3 linked regions of the Alligator mississippiensis genome follow. The protein of the gene in region 2 interacts with the protein of the main gene of each other region in a biochemical or structural test. Links are inferred from orthologs where the notes say so. Each region holds a gene or a part of one and is shown on either strand. Other genes may lie near its edges. The genes, in order: ARF6, CYTH2 and ARF1.

Evidence for each region.
Region 1: the proteins of CYTH2 (region 2) and ARF6 form a complex in vitro, tested with the Homo sapiens proteins (3 studies listed by BioGRID and IntAct, with this or other methods). The link is inferred for Alligator mississippiensis from reciprocal best matches to the Homo sapiens genes CYTH2 and ARF6.
Region 3: the proteins of CYTH2 (region 2) and ARF1 are reported together in a solved structure, tested with the Homo sapiens proteins (3 studies listed by BioGRID and IntAct, with this or other methods). The link is inferred for Alligator mississippiensis from reciprocal best matches to the Homo sapiens genes CYTH2 and ARF1.

What each region holds. Positions count from the first base shown.
Region 1 is NC_081825.1:297,972,625-297,980,160, reverse strand, and holds the start of ARF6 (ADP-ribosylation factor 6), read right to left. Parts: upstream 3,087-7,536; 5' UTR 2,966-3,086; intron 2,890-2,965; 5' UTR 2,702-2,889; coding exon 2,174-2,701; 3' UTR 1-2,173. UniProt on the Homo sapiens protein: GTP-binding protein involved in protein trafficking that regulates endocytic recycling and cytoskeleton remodeling. GTP-bound form plays an important role in the transport of multiple palmitoylated proteins form the Golgi to the plasma membrane.
Region 2 is NC_081828.1:38,812,238-38,819,912, forward strand, and holds the start of CYTH2 (cytohesin-2), read right to left. Parts: upstream 3,100-7,675; 5' UTR 2,972-3,099; coding exon 2,953-2,971; intron 1-2,952. Other genes in the region: KCNJ14 (ATP-sensitive inward rectifier potassium channel 14), read right to left, coding at 7,487-7,675. UniProt on the Homo sapiens protein: Acts as a guanine-nucleotide exchange factor (GEF). Promotes guanine-nucleotide exchange on ARF1, ARF3 and ARF6. Activates ARF factors through replacement of GDP with GTP.
Region 3 is NC_081828.1:214,222,362-214,229,338, forward strand, and holds the start of ARF1 (ADP-ribosylation factor 1), read right to left. Parts: upstream 3,061-6,977; 5' UTR 2,951-3,060; intron 1-2,950. UniProt on the Homo sapiens protein: Small GTPase involved in protein trafficking between different compartments. Modulates vesicle budding and uncoating within the Golgi complex. In its GTP-bound form, triggers the recruitment of coatomer proteins to the Golgi membrane.

The sequences.
Region 1 (7,536 bases), on a different chromosome or scaffold from region 2:
GCAATGAGCTTTCAGTTATGAGACTAAGTAGAGATCTTTCATTTCCCCATCCAAACTGGGAATTTAGGATCATTGGTTTTTAGCTAGCTTCTCCAATTGGTTTTTCATTTACACAGATTTCTTTAGGAATCACTGCTCCATTTTCTAGCATCAAGAACCCTTTCATTGCGATTTGCAATTCACACCAATTGTGTCCCTCTTTAGAGCCATTTTCTAATCACCAATTTTTTCCAAGTGGCCTTAAGCACTCAATTTTTAATCTTCCCATACATCTTTGGTAAAAAGCTCCATGTACATTATATTTAACATGCAGAGTTAAAATTGCAAAAATGTAGTGTAATGCCCCAATTTAAATGTGAATCTAATACCCTAAAAAAAGAAAAAAAAAAAAAGAGAAAAGCCATTTTCTTCTGGTTTTGTAGCATACATTCCTAGAATTCCCCAATAGACTTTAACTCCTTGAGGAAATCTGAAGTTAATCTTTAAGGCTGAATAAGAACCAGCTGCTTTACAATTTTTTTTTGCACCTAGTATTAATACTTGATTGAACTCATTTCATACCTACTCAAACACTTGGTTTTTTTGCCAGTCACAGGCATCTGAAAACTGCGATACAGCAAATGAGCTGCTTGCCCTTTAAGACCTAAATATGGAGATTTACATTCATAGTCATATACTCACTCTTCTCCCCACCCTGACTGAGCAGTTACTCACTGGATTTAAGTTCGGACAGCCAATGGAGATCCTTTCATACAGAATTATATTAACATGCTACTGGAACAGAGGGCTAAGGCCATTTGCAGCTACTTGCATTAATTAAAATTTGTGGTCTTGCAAAAACTAAACTGATAATCACTTCCTCTAAATGGTAATTATTCAAGCATTAAAAAAAATAAAAAGAAAACAAGAAAAAAAAAAACACCTTTCAGTTAAAAGCTTAGGAGTGAGCTTTCTTACTTGAGTGTTTATGGTACAGAAACAGAAGTTGTTTCTCTGCAGCTCCTTTAAAGCTACATAAAAATCACATAAGGCAAGGGGGGGGAGGGAAGGAGTCAACACAAACATTTCCTGTACTGCAAGACAAGGAAGTCAGGGTCTGATTTTTGCCCACAGTTTTGATTTTAAGTAAAAATCATCACATTATTGCTACATTTTCTGGAGATCTCTTGCATTGAAATGGGAGTCTGATGTGTAACTGATTATGATCACAAGAGTCAGTGATATTTAGCTGCAATGCAACAGGAACTGAATAGGAGTATACCCTGAAACTATTACATCATTCACGTCTTACTCACTATATGGTTGCTATGCTGTATGGGACCTACTTGCATCCCTATTCATGCATGATGTATGGTTCAGAACTTCACAGCTGACATTTCAAGCAGTTCTTACATTACCTAGTTAACATTACACCTGATATACACTTTGAACGCATTACAATGGTATTCTCACTACCTGCTGCTGTAGGCAAACATTTTTTTTTATTTCATATTAGTCTTGGAGATGAAAAAGACAAAATTTCAAGTCACTAATTACAGATCAGCAGAACTTTTTTTTTTTTTTTAAAAAAAGTCCTCCATATAAAAAGACAGACTGCGGTTTGATTTTAAGCAATCATTTTTAGTTTACTAGATGAAATAGACCTATCAACATATTCTGCATGAATGCAAGAAAGTAGCAATCTACAGCAATTCAAAGAAAAAAAAAGAGCCAGAAAGCATACACCCAGAGGTACCCTTACTCCTCCCACCCCAGAGGAATGGGGGTGGAAAAAAAAAAAAAGAGGGTAGTCAAGAAAGAATGAAAAAAAAAAAAAAAAAAAAAGAGTTACTTAGCAAATCTACAACGTGTCTTTTCCCCTTGTTTGCTGGAAGTCTGCCATAGCATCTAGTGCTTGTGTTCATGTCACATTTGAGGATTAGAGCATCCTAATGCCAAGCAAGAAGAGTTAAAATAGGAATCCAGTCAGTGTGTCGAAGAAAAGGGCGGTTGTGGGAGAAGAGGTGATCATAATCCTATGGATGCTTTGCTTTTCTGCCGAGAACTGGTCTTCTGGGAAGCCACGTGGGTTAATTCTTTATTTCTTTATTTATTCATTTTCCTTAAATTCTCCATAGCCTAAAAGAGTTTCATTTGTATGTGTGCGCGCGTGCGTGTCCCCCCCCGCCCGCCATTAGGATTTATAGTTGGACGTTAACCACGTCAGCCCTTCGTAGAGTCCGTCCCCCGTGGTGGCACAGGAGGGCTGCACGTACCAATTCCTATCCCTGATCCGCGTCAGGCCCAGTTTCTCCTGGATCTCGTGGGGTTTCATGGCGTCGGGGAGGTCCTGCTTGTTGGCGAAGATGAGGATGATGGCGTCCCGCATCTCCCGGTCGTTGATGATGCGGTGCAGCTCCTGGCGCGCCTCGTCGATGCGGTCGCGGTCGGCGCAGTCCACCACGAAGATCAGGCCCTGCGTGCCCGTGTAGTAGTGCCGCCACAGGGGCCGGATCTTGTCCTGCCCGCCGACGTCCCACACGTTGAACTTGACGTTCTTGTACGTCACCGTCTCCACGTTGAAGCCCACCGTGGGGATCGTGGTCACCGACTGGCCCAGCTTCAGCTTGTACAGGATGGTGGTCTTGCCCGCCGCGTCCAGCCCCAGCATCAGGATCCGCATCTCCTTGTTGCCGAAGATCTTGGACAGCACCTTGCCCATCTCGGCGGCATCCACGGGGCCCCGGGGTGGGGGAGGGGCGGGGGGAGGAAGGGGGGGAGGGGGCTCCTCACGGGCGCGGCCCAGCAAGGGGGGTGGGGGGGCGTGGGCCGCTGTCCCAGGCCAGGCCCGGCTTAGCCCGTCGGCACCCGGCGGCCCCTCAGCTCATGGAAGCCGGCACCGGCTCCTGCCTGCGGAGGGACCGAGAGACAAGGTGAGCGCCCGCCCGTGAGGGGCCCGACCCGGCCTCGCGGAGCAGCCCGTTACCTGCCACTGCCGCCGCCGCTCCCCTCAGGCCGCCGGAAAAGCCCGCCTCACTTCCCCTCAGCTCGCAACGCGCAGGCGCACCACGCGCCCGCCCGGCCGGACCGGCCGTTATGAGGCGGCCCCTCCCCCTCCGCGAGCGCACTGCGCCTGCGCCGCGCCCACGCACGCCCGGCCGCAAGACGCACCGCGCATGCGTGCAGCGGCTCTGGGCCTCACCGCGCATGCGGAGGAGAGGGACGCGCCAACGGTGATGCCCCCGCTGGGGTGTGCGCATGCGCTTGACGTCACTCGGGTGGGGCGAAGCCTGCTGGAGGAGGAGGAAGGCGGGCAGGGCGCCTGCGCGGCATTGCGCAACCGGAACACAAGGGAGCGGCCTTGGCTCGCGTAATTTTCCCGGGACGCGCGCTGCTCATGCGCAGAGCCGGGCGCCGCCTAAATTCGACTTCCGCCTTGCTGCGGCTGCGCCTGCTCAGTTGGGGAAGGAGGGGGCTAAAGGGAGGGTGTGCGCATGCGCGCACCGGCTGGGGTGTGGTTTCTATGGGGAGAGGCGCCACGCGATCCCACGTCAGCAGCTGCGCGCGGGGGTGCCCCGGGGTCCTCTTAAAGGGCCAGGCCGCGCGGGCCCGAGCCACGTGGGGGACGCAGGGCTGGGCCACGCCGGGCACAACATCGACCTACATATTTCCAGTGCGGTCCGTAGTGTCCAAGCCAGCCTGTCCCCAGCTCTTGGCTCTAGTCTCCTGTGTTCCTGCAGCACACAGTGACAACTGAGACCTGGCCTCTGAGCCGTGCCCTGAGTCTGACAAGCAGTGCCACGTGTCTGTCAGAGATGTCATGAGTAGCAGATACACGGGGGCAGGGCTAGCATTCAGAGTGACCTAGACAACTTGGAGGATTGGGTCAAAAGGAATTAAACAAGGACGAGTGCAAAGTCCTGCACTTGGGACGGAGCAATGCCCTGCACCGGTGGGGGCTGGGGGTGCCTGGCTGGGCAGCAGCTCTGCAGAAGAGGCCCTGGGGTGACAGTGGGCAAGAAGCTGGAGATGAGCCAGCAGTGTGCCCTCGTTGCCAAGACAGCTAACGGCATCCTGGGCTGCTTGGGTAGGACCGTTGCCAGCATGCCGAGGGAAGTGATTATTCTCCTCTACTCAGCACTGGGGAGGCCACATCAGGAGTCCTGTGTCCAGTTTTGGGCCCCCCGCTACAGAAAGGATGTGGACACACTGGGGAGAGTCAGCGGAGGGCAACAGAAATGGTCTGTGGGCTGGAGCATGTGATTTATAAAGACTGAGGGCGCGGGGTGATTTAGTCTAGAGCAGAGGAGACGGAGAGGGGATTTAATAGCAGCCTTCAACTACCTGAAGGGGACTCAAAAGAGGAAGGAGCTGGACTGGCAGATGACAGGACAAGGAGCAATGGGCTCAAGTTGCAGCAAGGGAAGTTGAGGGATATTAGGAAAAACCCTCACTAGGGGGGTGGTAAAACACTGGAACAGGTTACCCAGAGAGGTGGTGGACTCTCCATCCTTGGAGGTTTTTAAGACCCGGCTCGACAAAGCTTTGGCTGGGATGATCTAGTTGGGGCTGATCCTGCTTGGAGCAGGGGGTTGGACTAGATGTGACCTCCTGAGGTCCCTTCCAACCCTCATTTTCTATGACTATCAAGGGGTGCTGCAAGTTTATCAAGGGGCACTGACTCTATCAAGGGATGCCATGAGTCTACCAAGGGTTGCCATGAGTCTGTGAATGTTGAGAACTGATTAGAAGCACCAGGCAGAGGTTAAGGTGGATCAAGTAAAACCTAAACCAACCCATCCCACCAGCCTGGGTTATGAACTCCGAATCTATTTTGGGAGGTTTCCAGAATGCCGTCATGCTCACAACACAACACGTATGTGCTTGTGTATACCACTTATAGATTATGGTGCGTAGACTTTACATCAGGAAGGCAAATGCACATTACTATTACATTTTAAAACCCCACTAGACTACTATATAAATCAGATTAAACATTTAATGCATATTTTAATGAATGCCCTATCATTTATGTCCCAGGTGACTCTCAGCAGTCTCCTGGAGAGTTATATCTAATTCCTGGAGACTCCAGGGCAATCCTGGCAGGTTGGCAACCCGACCACCAGCATGGACTCAGTGACCATGGATTGTGTCAGCCAAATCTAATTTCCTTGTCTGACAAGGGAATGGGTCCAGGGGAAGCGGCATATGTGATGCGCTGGGGCTATAGTGAAGCTTTTAGCATTGTGACAAGACGTTCTCCTGAGCACGTGCGGGAAGCGTGGTCTATGTGAAGTCCAGTTTATATGCTGCTCTGTGCTGTCCTTTCACAGCGTCTGATGAAGTGAACTTGAGTTCATGAAAGCTAGTGCTTTATATATACATCTTATTGAGTTAGGCTATAAGGGTGAGTCTCATCCATAGTGCACCCACAGTTGTGATTCAATCTTTGTCCCCCACATGGGAGACCTGAATTTGATTCCTAGATGCAGGTGTAACTACAGCTATTGAAGCACCGAAGGTCTGGACTTTGGATACTGTCTTAATGGACTAAAGTGGGGGGATAGAAGGTCTGGCCAGCCTCCCCTCCTCCAAACTCCTCTCTGGATGTGTGTGTCAAAAGTCCTGGTGACCTCTCACACATGCACTATGATCCAGAAGGACTGTTGCCTGCTACATCAAGGATACCAGGGCACCCTGGGGTGCTGCCAGATCCTTTGAAGGGTGCCACAGGCTTATCCCTGTTTGTCCCACACTCCCACTGCTAAGCCCCTTTGCATGAAAGGGAGTAATGTATGAATCCGTTTTTGAAAGTAGGTGCTGCTCAAGTGGCAAAAGTTACACAGAGGGGTCTCGCATCCAACGTGGGGTGCCTTGAGTCCAGCAAGGTTGAGAACCTCTGGTCTGTAAGGCGTGTCTACCCTGCCTTCTACGTGAAGTCATTGTTAGACGGTTGAAAAAGCACACTTAAAAGATAGTTATCAATGTTTCACTGTCAAACTACGAGAATATTTCCAGTGGGGTCTTACTTCCCTTTGTCCTGGGCCAAGTTCCATTGGCTATTTTCATTAACATCCTGAATGATGCAATCGAGAGGGCAGTTATAAAGCTGTCAGTCTTACCAAGCTGTAAAGTGTTTCAGGTGCTCTCAAGATCATGATCAGAAATCAAAATGAACGTAATAAAGAGAGAAATTGTGTGCAAGCACCAAGATGGGATAAAGGTAAGTGCAGCATGCTATGGAAGGAGAAAGCAAGGGCACAAATACAAAATGGGGACTAACTGGATAGGCAGCAGTATTTCCAAGAAGGATCTCAAGGTTATAATGGAGCGTACGCTGAACATAAGTTAATAATGTGATTTTGTTGCATAACAGGCAAATTTCATCCTGCATTGTATTAAGAGGAATGGCCACCACAGAAGGTGGTTATTCTACTGTACTGGTGTGGGTGGAGACTTCAGATGAAATACTGGTGCGCTTTAAGTCACGCTTTAAAAAGGATGTAAAGAGACTGGAGTCCAGAAGAAAGCAGCAACCGCAAAAAAAAAAAGTGTTGCCATCATAACTTCATAGATTTCATAGACATTCGGGCTGGAAGGGACCCCGGAGGATCACTGAGTCCAGCCCCCTGCCCCAGGGGCAGGAAGTCAGCAGGGATCATAGGATCCCAGCAAGATAAGCATCCTAATGTGTCTTGAAGGCGTTCAAAGTGGGTGCTTGAACCGCCTCTGGCAGCAGTCTATTCCAAACCTTGGGGGCTCAGACAGTAAAGAAGTTTTTCCTTATGTCCAGCCTGAATCGGTCGTGGCGGAGTTTGTGACCGTTCGACCTTGGGGCGCTCTGGTGAACAGATTTTCCCCCAGATCCTGATAAGCACCCCTGATAAACTTATAGGTGGCCACCAGATCACCCCTGAGCCTGCGCTTTTCCAAGCTGAAGAGTCCCAGGGCTCTCAGCCTGTCATCATAAGGTCTGTTTTCCTGCCCTCTGATCATGCGCGTGGCTCTCCTCTGCCAACTTAAAAGGAAAGGTTGAAGAAACTGGTTTGTCTAGAAAAGACCTGATCAGCCTTTCAGAATTCAGAAGGCTGTTAAAAAGATGATTGATTATGCTCCATGCCCAAAATTGGCAGGGCAAGAAGAAAGTGGCTTAATTTGCAGCACAGAATTAGGCTGGATAGCATGAACTTTCTCTAAGGGTGGTGAAGCAGTGCAACATGTTTTCTGGCATGACGTTGTGAAACCCTCAGAGGAAGTTTTTTGAGAACAAGTTAGACAGCTGCCCTGGATTCTTAGTAGGATCAGTGCAGGGGAGGGACCATTGAGACTCTCCTGAGATCCTTTCCAGCCATGTATATCTAGGGTTGACCTGGTAGCCCCCAGAAGATCTCAAGTGCTTGCCCTTTATCGGAGGCATTGGAGGAGCAAAATTGGACGCAGCATTTCACAAGGCTTAAGCTGCACTGAGAGGTGCGACCTAACTGGGTGGATTATACCGTGCATGTGCAGACATAGTACTCCAAAGGGTTGCCACCCAGTCACTTTTCCCATGACCTA
Region 2 (7,675 bases):
TTGTCTTCATCAAGATGGTCTCAAACCCCGCTTCACCTGTTTTCCTTTGGCAAGTTATTCATTTCTTCTGCGTGGTTTCTGAGAGGGGTCACTAGTGCAGCATCCTCACTAGGGCTGGAGTACTGTTGTACCCTTGATCAAACAACTGTACCATTGGGACACAACTGACACACTTTTGTGCACAAAGTGCCCTCTTGGTTGAGTTTGGTCCTGAAGAAGGGCACAATGTGCCCAAAAGCTTGTCTAACATCTCTCACAACTAGATAGCTGGACCAACAAGAGTCATCTCATCTAAGTCTTCTAGGCGTTTTCCACATAGGAACATAGGATTGCAGGGTACTCTTGGGTCACTGAGTCCCATTCCCTGCATTGTTGTAAATTATTACCCCAAGGAAGCAATCATTAACCAGGAGCCGGTGCTTGGTGAATGGTGGCAGTGGTTGAGGATCTTGCTATGACTCCAGGAGCATGGGCCGAGCCCTTCTTTGGATTTTTGCTAAAGGCCACTGCTTTGTTCCAAGTGCAAATGGAGACCTGGTCACTCAGGCTGGAGAGTCAAAATGCCCAGATGTGATACCAGCCATATTACAACCTTGGGTGCCACTGGCTATAGACATTGGTGCGCCTTAATCACATGGATAAAATCCTGGCTTGACCTGGCTGCTTCCTACTGATGCAGCTATTACCACTGCAAAGGCTGTGTCCTGATGACCAGGCAGCTCCCATCCATTTGGCTTCCGCCAGCACCCTGTCCTCTGCTGGGGAAATGCTTTACCTTGAATATTTCACTCCCTGAAAAAGGCATATTTGGGTGAAGCTATACCAGTCCTGGGTTTGCAGGGAAGTCAGTGGTGCAACATTTGTCTCACTTGTAGTAGAAAAATAACAAGAAAAAGGAAAGAGTCCAGAGGTCTGGTTTGACCCATTCAGTAAGTTCTAATTATTTTTTCAAATGGGGGCTGGCTCCAAAGTTCATTTAAACTGCATTCAAAACCCCACACACCACAAGTCCTAAATGAATTGCTTCCATTTCATGAATCAATTGACCAGTGAACCAAAAAATTATATCAATTATTTACACAGTTCAACCCCTGCCTGCTTCCCAGCATCTCTGTGATTCAGGATACCGGCTCTTGGCCCTATTACTTATGTTGGGGCAATCCATAATCTAGAACACGGCTGTGCAACTCCTGAGCAGCCAGGGGCCACACATCACATGGGTCCTCTGGGGTCCACCCCTTTGCAGTGTGAGGGTCCCTGCCCACCATGTGGGCAGCCTGGGCAGTGACATCCACACCCCTGGTACCATGACACCCACATGGAGCAGGAAGCAGAAGCAAGAGGAGGGCTGGTTGTGCTTGTGGGCCACCAGCTGGACAGCCCTGGTCTAGACTACACGAACTAAAGGAACTCAATAATATGGGTGTAATCATTGAGAACAGCTTGGACAGTGGCCCCTTCAGCACCCTCCTCTACCAAACAGCAGCAAGCCCGTTCCTTGCAAACCAAACCGCTGTCAGCAAAGGCACCTCTGGAGAGCATTTAAAGTAAAATGACTCAATGCAGAAGAGATACCAAAGCACAAGAGCAAAGTGATCAAGGCTGGTTTGGCTCAAGGAAGAGGAGAGGTAGGTCCCTATGCAGGGGTGCAGTGAGATGTTGGAATGACCTCCCAGTGACAGCCTGGGACTAAATTGGTCCGAGGCTAGAGCTTGTGGGACTAGGTGCCGTGGCCGTCTGTCACCACAGGAAGCTGGACTGGTGGATGCAGGTGGGCCCAGCCAGGCCCACGTCCCTGCTGGATTTCATCAAGGTCTTAGGACAAGCAGGCTCCCGTGGGAACACGGTAGGGAGGAGGAGATGCGTGGTTTATCTGCGAACTCATTCGTAAGTGCCCCCCTGCCCTCCTCCCAAAAACAGGGGCATCACTATGGCAACACAAGAGCATGCACCAGGCAGATGGCAGGAGCCACACCATCCTTGCTGAAGGGAGGGGAGCTGGGAAGTGAGCATGGGCAGGAGGCAGTGGCCATGTTGCTTGTGCTCCTGATGGGGCAGGAGGAGGGGCACCCCAGGGCAGGTGCTTGCCAGGGCGGGGCTGGGCCCCAATCCCAGTGCTACAGCAGCACCAGCCAGGGGAGGGTCCCTGCCCCAAGGAGTTCCCAAGCCAAGTACCTGATTGGCCTCCTGGGCCAACAGGCAGGGGCTGTGATGGGACTAAACATCAAGGGTGGGGCTAAGTGATGGGGCAGGACCTTCAGAAGGGCAAGGACCCAGCACCCCCATCATGGGGGGAGGGGGAAGTCAATGGAGAGGTTTGGTTGGGGGCAGAGAAAATGGTTCATCCCCAACCACCCAACACAGGGGAAAAAATGGTTCAATCCATGACCCTATGCAATTAGGAAGGAAATGGTTCAACCTGCAGGTTTTCCCTCCCTCAGCAGGGAATTGAATGGTTTAGCCCAACCCCCCATACATGCCAAGAAACACTCTTAGAAAAGGGCGGGGTGCAGTTCCACTCCCCTTCATATGGGAGAAAACGGTTTGCGCTGCCCCACACTAGGAATGGCACAGACCACCCTCTTCTCTCCCCTCTCCAACATAGGGAATGGTTCAGCTCACAGCCCCCTATAACAGAGAAGGGAATGGTTCATACCCCCGACCCCTCCACAGGTAAGAAAATTACTCAGTCCCACCCTCCCAGAGACCCCCCCCGCCCTCCCCCTTAAAGAACGAAATGGTTCAGCCCCCCCCCCCCCGAGCACAACAGGAATGGTCTCGCCCACCCCCTTCCAAGACTGAGGCGAACGGTCCGGCCCAAGCACCACCGGCCCCACCTCAAAGCAGGAAATGGCCTGGCCCGGCCCGGCCCCTCCTCACGGATGGTTCCGCCCACACCCCCATACAATGGTACGGCTCACCCCACGCGGGCGGGCAGGCCCAGGCCCCTACCATAGACGCCGTCCTCCATGGTAAACGCCCCAGCCCCGGCGGGAGCTTCTTTGTCGCTGCGTCTAGTCTCCTCGGCTCTCCCGTTGCAACGCCTGCTTCCTCCTCTCGTGTCCGCCCGGCCCAGCACTGCGGGGAATAGCCCGCCTCCTCCCCGAGCAATAGCCAATGGGAAAGCGCGATTCTTGCAATCCCCACCCCTTCCCACCGGCAGCAACCAATAGCTGGGGACGGATGGCAAATGAACGGGCAGTATTTAAGATTGATAGCTAGAGCAGCCAATGGGGGACAAGGGTTCGTACAAAACCTGCTCCACCGCGGAGATTGACAGAAAAATGAACCAATGAAGTATAGGAAAATTGTACACTAGTAGGCTCTGAAACTTGTTGACAGGAAGTCCGGTCATTTAGTGCTCGAGATTGCCAACAAGCCCGCCTCTGCTTGGATTAACTGTCCAAAGAGCCAACAGGAACGCTAAATAGCCAGGGGCTGCTCCTGGGCCGCCAGTCACTATGAATGATACACAAAGGAACCAATAAGAGATGAGCTTCGCTGGCCTCTGCCCTAACTGCGCCCAATGGACGGACTCGATAGGGAGCAGGCGGGGCTTGAGCCGTTGCTAAGGCACTAGAGGGGTCTGGGCCGTTGCTAGGGTCAATCCCTGGCCTCTTAGCAGTAATAAATCAGACTCATAAATAAAATACAACTATAAATAAATATATAACCCTGGGCTAAAGTGAGCTGGGAGGGCAAGGGGGGAGGGGTTGTCACTCCTCTGGCCCACCCCATGTACACCCTGACACACACCCCATGTACGCCCATATATTGCCATATACACCCCTACACACATCCCATGCATACCCCACATATACCCTATGTGCATCCCTGTATACAGCCAGCACACCCCCCTATGTACACTCCCATGTACAGCTCAAGTATGCCCCATATACCCCCTGCGTACACCCCTCCTGCCTTCCCCGATACCCCCACAGCCACCCTCGGCTGCCCACTCACTGATGCATGCATCACCATCCCACCAGCCCCAACCCCTCCACTGCACCCAGCTGCCCCCACCCCCTGCCCATCCAGCCCCCTCCATCACCCCTTCCCCTTTCCCAGGCCCTGTACCTGCCATCCCTCCCCACATCCAAGTATGTATCCCCAGCTCTCCTCATACTCCCAGCCCTCTCTCCCCAGTTTACCCCATCCCCCCTCCATTGAACAGCCCAGCAAAACTTTCCCCTTCCCAGGCCCTCAGCCTCCATCCCCACACCCCACCCCCACGCCCTTTTCATCCCCCTCCCACCCACAGCCCCATTAACCCACCAATGCACTCCCACCCTCTCCTCAACCTCCCCTACACTCCCTCCACACCCCCAACTAAGAGATGCTGGGGATCAGGTCATTTTTGGAGCACTGCTGTCTTTCCCAGTGGCAGTCACCAGGGGGCGCTTGAAACTAGCTGCAGGGGGGTGATCGCGCAGAGGGGGACCGAAATTGGCAGGGTTCTGGCCAGGGCCCTGCCTAACTTTCTTGATGGGGACATGGGGGTGAACTGCATCCCCTAGGCTTTGTAGATCCCAGTGGCCACCCTCCGGGGCTAGGCTGATGCGGTGTGTACCTGGTGTGGGGGGAGGAACCAGGGTCCTGGGAGTGCTGTGGGGCAGGAGGGAGGGGCACTGGCAGTACCAGGGGGAGGTCAAGGGGTGGTAGGGGCTGGGGGTCGGGAGGCAAGGGCACTGTTTGCAGTGGATCCTCGTCTGCACTTCCTGCCTTTCTGGTTGTCGTGCCGAGCCTCTTGTCACTGGTGATGAGTTGGAAGGAGCCCAGTGGGGAAACCCAGAGGAGGGATTAGCAGGTGGGGAGTACGAGCTGGAAGCCAGGGCTGGGTGCACAGCAGTGGATGCACACCCTGCAGCTCACAGCTGGCTGCCTGCCAGCATGGGGGTCTCTCCCAAGGTTGCTGACTCCGGTGTGGATTCTCCCCACCTTACTAGATCTTACTTAAACCTTGCTCCTCCTGCATCAGGCACTATCTGGGAGCAGCTTCCCAGGAGCAGGAAGCCCAAAGGCTCCCTTGCTCCAGACATCTGCTAAGCTGAATTACCCATCTCCTGACAGTGTTGACCCAGGCTGAGCTGTCCGGATCCATCCCCAGAGGGGGAGGGATGTGGAGGGCCTGATTCTGATCTCAGCCACCCCCAAGGACCAAGCTGGAGTCACCCCCTAACTGCAGTGAGATCAAGGCCAGATCCTGATGTCAGCTCTGCTGGGCCAGTTTGAAATCAATTTGAAGTCACACCCTGATGGCAGCAGGGTCAGGGCTGAATCCTGATCTCCCCCTGGAAGCCACCTCTTAGCGCTGGATAGTTCCTGTCAGAGAGCACCACTCTCACCCCCTCCCTGCCAACCCGATAGGCTAAGAATAGGGCTCTTGAGGGGTTATTTTGGGCGTAAGAGCATGTTCCTCTCTGGGTTTATCAGCCGGCCAGGGTGTCAGCTGAGACACCTGTGACATGGCCTCACCTTGAGAGTGTCAGGGTCTGGAGTTGGTGCTGAGAGCAGAGCGCAGCCCTCTCTGACCCGCTGTGCCCCATGGGCTGGGACAATGCAGGGGCCAGTAGGGTGGGGACCATGGGGCAGGGGCTGGGCTGGGCCTGGGGGCATGGGGGGAGCAAGTTAATAGGCCCCATTTCCCCTGCTGGGGCAGCCGCTAAGCAGCTGGGATTAGCGACTGAAACTGTGTCAGATTAATGTGAGCTCCCAGCTGGGCTCCAAGCTGTCCCTCCCTGCTCTGACCTTCACACACACCCCAGCAGCTTGGCCTGGCCCAGCCAGCGTGGTCTTTCAGTGAGCGCCCACAGGCCAGCTTGGCCCCAGCACCCCAAAGCCAGCCCACAGATGTGCCACAGCCCCCAACATCATCACCCTGCAGCCCCACATGCCTCAGGCACCTCTGCCCTATCCTGCAGCCCCACAGCTGCCCACAGTTCAGCACCTCCACACAGACACGTCACCACCCGTCATCCCCACAGCTCCCGACAACCCGTGCAAATACCTTGTAGCCTGCTGACCCCACATCCCCACTAGCCACCCTAACACCCTGTCCCACACCTTGCTCCAGCCCGCCAGCCCCACAAAGGTGCCCCAGGCACCCCACAACTCATTGGGCCCACACAGCCTCCAAGCCCTACACAGCTCATGGTCTGTCCCATGCAGATAGTCAACCATTCCCACAGCCTTCTACCCACTTCAGCCACCCCCTCACAGCCCTCTCCAGTACCAGGCCACACAGAGTGTCCATGCATTCATTCATCCCTCCCTCCCCACACATGCCTCTAGCTATCTGTCCAGGTCTCCATCTAGCAAATCCCTTGATGTAAACATGCTTCAGAATCGGCCCCTCCTGTGTGTTTTGGGATCTCAGGCCCAGACCAGAAATCACCCAAACATGCCCTGCCAATGATTGGGACAGGTGATGCCAGGGCTGGGTGTGAGCCAGGGCCCCCTGGAGTTGGGGTTTCCCAGTGTGGGAAGGCATCCAGCCAATGGAGTGGGTGAGGGGTTGGCATGGAGGGAATGAGGCCCATACACCTCATTTGGCAAGAATAATACAGACCAGAATTCTCCAAATTCTCTCTTTATTTCTGTATTTATCTGCATCACTTGGGTGATCTGGGGATGTGGGGGGCGGAGGGGGAGATCTGCCCTGACTCCCCCAGGCCCCTGCCTCTCTGTGCTACTGCACTATGGGGCTATTGACACACAGCTGGGTGGCTGCAGGCCCAGCCAGCAGGGGGCAGTGGTGCTATGTGGCTTTTCTTTAATGGCTTGGGCCCTCTCTGGACCCCAAGGCCCCCAACAACCACATCCCCCAGGAACAGACCCCTAAGCCTTGCCAGTTCCCTGGGGATCCTCAGTCATCCTAAGTGGCAGGGGAGCAGCTGGATCCAACATGGCTACTAAAGTGGCATTGTGGCTAGCAGAATGGGAGGGGGGGGAGGGAAGGGGGGGAGCTTTCAGGGGGTGCCACCCCCAGTTAACAGCATCTTTTCCCCCATTAAAAGCCAGAGCAAGACGGGGATGGGGCTGCTGGGGGAGCGGGACAGCTCAGCAGTGTCCTCAAAGGAGGTAGCAGCAATGAGCCCCAGTTACATACAGGGGGCCCCAACCCCTGACAATCCCAGGAGTGGGTGTAGAGGGGACTGGGTCTGTACAGGCTGGGCTCTGGGGCAGGGGCTGGATATTGCCCATGGGCAGGTGAGAGATGGGGCGGGGCGGGGCTGTCCCATTAGCATTAGGTTCCCCCCGTCTTCTTCGGGGGTGAAGGAGAGGAGAGACAGGCTTGGGCTCCCCCTGGTGCTCCCCTCTTGACTTCCCAGGGGAGACAGGCTGGGGGGTTCCCCTTGCCCAGAGTTCAGGTGTGGGAACCCTAGGGACCCCTTTGCCCTGCTCTCCTCAGCCACTGCTGCGTTCCTCCTCCCCCTTCTCCTCCTCCTCCTCCTCCACAGCCCCACAGTCTGATGCCACTGACCCATCATGTCCCACCGGGCATCTCCGTGGCCTCCAGGCCATTGCTTGCTCTCCCCTCCTTGCCCTTGTCACTAGCCAGGCCCCTTCCACTGCCACCACCCCCTGGCTGCTGCTCCTCCTCCTCCTCCCCCTCCTCCTCACGGCAGGCACTCAGTGCCACTTCGTTCTCGTAGCAGAAGGAGGCGCGGGTGGC
Region 3 (6,977 bases), about 180 Mb from region 2:
GTGACCAGACTCCAGAATAGACTCCCAGCAGTGGTAGTGCAGACACCTACCCTGGAGATCTTCAAAAGGAGACTGGACATATGCCCTGGCGGGGCTATTTGACCCCATCAGGCTTTCCTGCCCAGAGCAGGGGGCTGGACCCAATGATGTCATGAGGTCCCTTCCAGCCCTAAACGTCTATGAATCTGTGAGCCCCATAGGCTTGATAACACCATGTCACAGGCTGGATCTGTGCTGTGGCAGATTAGCAAGCCAAAGAGTTAAATCATTCCTATGGTTTGGGGCACAAAACTGCTCTAGCACATATGATGACAAACCAAGAAAACCTCTGCAAATTTTATTAGAAAACCCTACATCCAACTAGGTTCTTATTTCCAACTTCATTTTAAGACAAGAGAAGCAATGATAAAATTCTGTTTTAAGAGTAAAATCCTGAAACACACAATTTTACCAAACGATTTTTAACTACCAGCCTTTGGTAGTTCACTAACTCACCTTCGAACTGTTGGCAGCCTAGATTTTTTTTTTTTTTTTTTATCAACTGATAAGTTTAGGGGGGAAAAAAAAGGATCAGGAAAGTTAGGGGGATGTGCACGCGCACGCACATGGTGTAATGTCGTAGAACCAACAGCACTGGGGGAAGGACATGTCATAGAACCACACATTCAGGGTTTCCTCTGTGTGCTGGACACTCCCCATTGCCCAAAAGATGAAGACTGATTTAGAACAGTGGTTCTCAACCTTTTGGAATCTAAGGCACTCCTCAGAAAATGCCAGCTCTTAGTTTTCACTTATTTTTTTGACTACAGAAAAAAAATAGTAATTCTTCTGTTGTAAAGAACTCTGAAAGACCACAACAGGCCAGAATGCTTGTAACACTACTTGAAGTCTCTGGGATGAATCTGTGAATTGTGTCTGCACACTTAACAGTGCTAACATTGCATGGTACCCCACAGCACCCTGGCTGAGAATCACCAATTTAAAGGCTGGCAGTCAATGCCCCTCTCAGGCGTTTTGATTGTAGTTTAAGTTGCCATTCAACAGGTGCAGCCCAGGTCAAAAACACTGCAGTTGGCCCAACAATAAAACGGGTTCGCTTCCACTCAAGCAGAACGCATGCCTTGGCTTGCAATAACAAACTACTTGCATGCTTGAAAACTGCAGTACTTGCTCCTCATACCATTCATGACATGAGTTCAAACAACGCATTGGTGTCAATTCGCAAACAAATATGGTAATAAATACATTAGGTGAACAGAAAATAAGTGGAAGCAAGTGGTGGCTGACATGTCACCAAATTCAAAAGCCAAAACACCAGCAGCTTCTGTTCAGATAAAGATTGGCACATGAATGAGAACTATATTAGATTTGAGAAATCAGCAGAAGTGATGCCTTATTCCCTCACTATTTTTATGTATTAGAAGCAAGAAATAAAATTAGATACTTGCACGTGGCAAGAAAAAAACTGCTGAATAATGCAAAAACACAGCTGTTGTAGTAGGAAGCTGGTCCTGAACGTCTTTGCTCATCAGTTAAGGGAGAGCGTGATGGTTGCAGATACTGATACCTTTACAGGTTTTAAACCATAACAAGGCCTTCAACAGATTTTGAAAAGTAGACTTTCTCTCTCCATTGATGGACTTACAATACGGTGATCAGATTTACCGGAAATAACGTAGATATTGGTCTACAGTTAATAAAATACATCATTAAGAGAAGAATAAAGTCTCTCTTTACCCTGGAAAGGTCACAGCTCAATAATGCTTTGCGTCCACGCTGGACACGTTTGAGAAGTTAGGAGATGGTATGTAGAAGGAAACAATCTTTCCTGACTTCAACCAACCAGCTGATTTATTTCCTTCTTCCGCTATGCAATTAAAGCACAGGAGGGGTATTGAACATCCCATTTGCACCCTCAACACAACTGCCTACCGCAGGGAATTTGCACCAGGAGATATAAGGCACAGTAAAGATTCAGCTTGCGCGTCCATCCCGTCTCCCCAGCGCACGCCTTCGCCAGGCTACTTCCGCAGCCCTCCGAAAGCCCTTTAATTTTGCGAGGAGAGGCAGCGAACGTGCCCGGCGTAAGCAAACGAGGCACGATCCATTAAGCAGGCATCGCTGGCACGGACGCTGCGAACTGAAGACGTGCGTCGAGACTCAAAAAACGGAGCAGAAACGAGCCAAGCGACGGATTTTAAACACAAACCTATCCCCCACCTCTTCTATTTCACCACACCGAGTCCCAGGGGGGGAAAACCACATCCATTTGAGCTGTCCCTAGGCAGGAAACTCGGCCAACGCACAATCGAGGTTGCCGTCTCCTGGGGCGGTAGCCAGGTACGTTATCGGCGCTCGTCCCGCCGGGCGCGACCGCTGCAACCGCGAGGGAAGCACCCCGGCTGGAGAAACGCGCGGCACTGGACAGCCCTCGAATAAACCCCTCAGTCGAGAGCGTGCCCCCCGCCGGGGGAAATAGGAAGCGGAGGGCAGGAAACCCTCAGGATCCGCAGACTGTTAAAAGTGACCTTGGGTGGCTGCTTCCCTGACTACCCCTCAGTCTTCCCCTCTGTGAAACGGGGATAATGACGGGAAGCCACCAAGGGGAGCGCAGCGGGGTGCCTTTGGGCCGTCACCCATGTCTTTGGGGGGGGAGGGGAGGGTTGCACAAGAAGTTGCACAAGCGGGTGCAAGGGCGGGTGGGGGGGCAGCAGGGCGCTGCCCCACCCCCCACGGCTCCCTCCAAGCGGGGGAAGGAAGCGCTGTTTCCCCCTTCCCCGGGAGAGTGGGGGGGGGGGGCGGCACAGCCCATTCCCCGCAGCGCCCCTCCCCCACCCCGGGCCTGCACCCGCACAGGCCGCCCCCGCGCCGGCCCGCGGGCTCCGGGGCAGGGGGAGGAGGGGAAGATAGGGCGGGGGGGAAGGACACGGCACGGCACGGCACGGCTCACCCGGCAGCGGCGGCGGCGGGTCGGAGGTGGCTCGGGGCCGGTCCTGCGCGTCTCGGCCGCTCTCCGCCCGGGCTCACAAGATGGCGGCTCGCCGCGGCCACGTCAGTGCCAGCCCCGCGCGGGGCACGACGGGAATGGGGGCGTGCTCGCCTCGGCAACGGTCGCGGGGCGGTGTTAGGGGCGGGGCCTGGCGCTGCACCGCTACAGAACGCGCCCCGCGCTGGGTGGTGACGTCAGCTCGCCTTGTCATGTGACCCCCCCTCCTCGCGCCATGTGGTGGCATGTACACGCCTTGTCATGTGTGCCTGCCCCGCACTGTGTGGTGGCATGTACACGCTGTGTCATGTGTGCCTGTCTCACACCGTGTGGTGGCATGTACAGGTTGTGTCATGTGCCTGTGTCACACTGTGTGATGTGCACACGTGTCATGTACCCACCTCACGCCATGTGATGAGCACATGTGTACCTGCCTCGTGCCATGTGGCGATGTACGCACGTGGTGACATGTACATGCCTTGTGCGTACCTGCCTCACGGTGTGTGGTGACATGTACACGCCTTGTCATGCGTACCTGCCCCGCACCACATGATGCATACATGTCATGTCGTGCATACCTGCTTCATGTCTTATGGTGACGAGCACACGCCTTGTCATGTACACCTGCCTCACGCTGTGTGGTGACGTACATGTCTTATCACGTATACCTGCCTTGCGCCACGTGATAACGTGCACCGTGCCTTGCTGTGTGTACCTATCTCACACCGCATGTTGACATGCAAACACCTTGCCACCTGTACCTATGATACACACCAGAGTACCTGCCTCACCTTGTGGTGACATGCACACACCTTGTCACGTGTACCTGCCTCATAACGTGTGGTGACGTGCACACGCCTTGTGTGTACCGGCTTCACACCGCATGCTGACACGCACCTGCTGTGCGACACACTTATGATACGCACGCCTTCTCCAGTGCATCTTTCTCACACCGTGTGGGGACACGCACCTCCCCAGTAACATGTACCCATGACACATGCATGCTTTGCTACGTATACCTGTCTCGCACTGCGCGGGGACACGCACACACCTTGCGACATGTACCCGAGACACAGGCCTTGTTGTACATGCCATTCTTACACTGGTGACACACACATTTTGCAATAATGTACCAGTCTCTCACGGCCTGGTGATACACATCTGCCTTTTGATATGTGCGCCCTCACTTTCTTGGGAGCACATGCATTTCTTGTGACAGGGAACACCCTGGTAGCATGCACATGCCTCGTCATGTACTCATCTTGTGAAAGGCACACACACACACACACACACACCTTGCAACTTGTACCCCTTGTACTGACATGCATATATCCTGTGATGCGTACTGAACTTTTGCTTACATGTTGCATGTACCCACGTCACACTTCATGAGAACACGCTTATGACGTATACCTAACTTGCACCTCATACTGACATCTGCCTGCCTTTGGGTATGATCCTGCCTTACACCTCACAGTGACATGCTTTTCTCCTGATGATGGCAGGTACACATCTTATGGGCAGCCTAATGCCTTGTGCTGGCAATACACACACATTGTGACATGTCGTTAATTCACAGCTTGTGACACGTGCTTTGAAACACGAACCCATCTTGCAACCCGGGACGGCACACGCAAGCCTTGCAGTGACCTGATCCCACCTCGCACCTTGCAGTGAGACAGATGCGCGTTATGCCTTGGGATGACATGCATAAGCATAGGTGTGTGCTAAAAGTGTCATCACGTCTCCCAGTGGCAGGACATTGGTGGCACCCACATTTTGCAGTAATTCAGGCCTGGTTTTCCTAAGGTGCTTTGTGGCTGTGACGTGTATGAGGGGCTGGACTGGGGACAGGACTTGATGGTCCAAGAAATTATTTCCAGTCTTATGCATGGCCATCTCATCCTTTCTGGAGACATGTATGTGCTTCCTGGCATGACTTTGCCTCCCGCTTTGTGCGGATACAGATGTGTTTGACACCTTTGGGAAGTCAGTTGTATGCCTTATAACATACCCCTTTCACCCTTTCTTACAACGTGTGCCTGCCTTCTGGTGACACAAACATGGCTCACCTCGTGGTGACACCCTGACTCTGTGATGGATTGAACATGCCTCATGGTGCCTGGTGCACGCCTTGTGATGATGTGGATGAACTTCATGCCTTGGGGTGACAAAGACATGAGTCACAGCTTGGTGTGACACACACATGCTTTGTGAAAGTCTCCATCCGGTGGTGCTATGTACATACATGAACCTGCCTCGCGCTCCATAGTACCACGAATGTGTTTTAGGCTTTGGGGAAAAGTGCACACACTGCGATTTGTGTCCGTCTCACAACCCAATGGAAACATGCACACGCCTTCTGGTGACACAGACGCACCTTTTGTGACACAAGCTCTCAGTCTTCCCGATGCAAAGAATGAGCTGTCAAACCCAATGGAAATAACGAGAGTGAGTTAGTATAGACGCTTTAGTGACAGAAGAGGGTGAAAGGCAAGGACAGCACCTTTACGGACCAGAACAACCAGTGCGACCAGACAACCCAGTCGTCACACGGGGATCAGGGGAAAGTGGAGTTAGGAAGCCAGGCAGTAAGTGCAGAAGAGCAGGAGGAGGAGAGGATGGGTTGGTTGAGCTGCATGCTCAGGACAGAGGAGGACCAAGGTCCCAAACAACAGAGAAAGCAGGGGAAAGGGACATAAACACTTGCCTAATACAACTTTTTTGAGTAAACATTTTCTATAGTTGCTATAGCAATGTTACATGACTGCGGATGGGAGCAGAGGATGCCCATGTAATCAGGGAGAGAAGGGAGCATGTCGCCAAGATAAGCTGTCTAGGAAACAACTGTGTACAAATTTAAGAAGGCCTGACTTAATCGGCTTTCCCTACAGTTGTTACCAGTGCTCAGGTTACACATGAACACCTCAATAAAGGCAACAGCCCAGCAATCAGGACATTTGGGCTCTGATCCTACCACCTGTGTGAGTGAACTCGGTGCAAAGTTACTTCACTTTTCTGTGCCTCAGTTTCCTCATCTGGAGATTGCTTATTTCCCCCCAGAGGTGGTACAATCACCTATCCTGGAGATCTTTAAAAAATGACTTGATGTGCACCATCTGACCCCAGCGGTCTTTCCTGGCCAAGTGCAGGGGGGCTGGACCTCCCTTGAGGTCCCTTCCAGCCCCTAACATCTATGGATCTATGAAAGTGATCTGAAAGTGCTTGCAGGACCTCAGACAGGTGTCAGATACATGGAAAGCAGTACTGCTGGTCCCAAATGTTACATCATGAGTCAGGTTTAAAGAGATCATGAAATCGGTCTAAAAATAGTAATTAAAATGACAATAATAATAATAATAATAATAACCTTGAGCTTATTTGTATTTGCTTTCTAGGTTTGGTACCTTTAAGATACGTCTGGGTCACATTTCCATGCTGTTCTCTGCAACCATGAGGCCTAGAAACTTCTTTTTTTAAGAGGAAAGCAGAGATCTGAAGCATTCACACACGACTTCTGAACTGGGGCTTTCAGGAAACAGGGATTGTGGTGAGATTTGGCAACAACTGACATATAGTTATTAAAGAGAAAACAAAACCGAGAAGTCAAATTTCACTGTTGTTGGTGGTGAACGAATGCAAATAGTGTGTAAGTTGCATAAATAGGGGGAATTGAAGTCTTACTTTTAAGAACATAGCGCCTTCAAGACACATTTGGATGCTTATCTTGCTGGGATCCTATGATCCCTGCTGACTTCCAGCCCATGGGTCAGGGGGCTGGACTCGATGATCCTCCGGGGTCCCTTCCAGCTCAAATGTCTATAAAATCTATGAAATCATTGAACCGAGGAAACATTTTTTGTAAAGGATTATTTTAACTTTGTCACTGCTGTTTCACATGGTCATCAAAGAAACACGCCAGTTGTTTGATGTGTTCTGTGTTTTAGGAACAAGTCTCTGCATACTAGGATTGCCCAGCATCGGCTCGGGA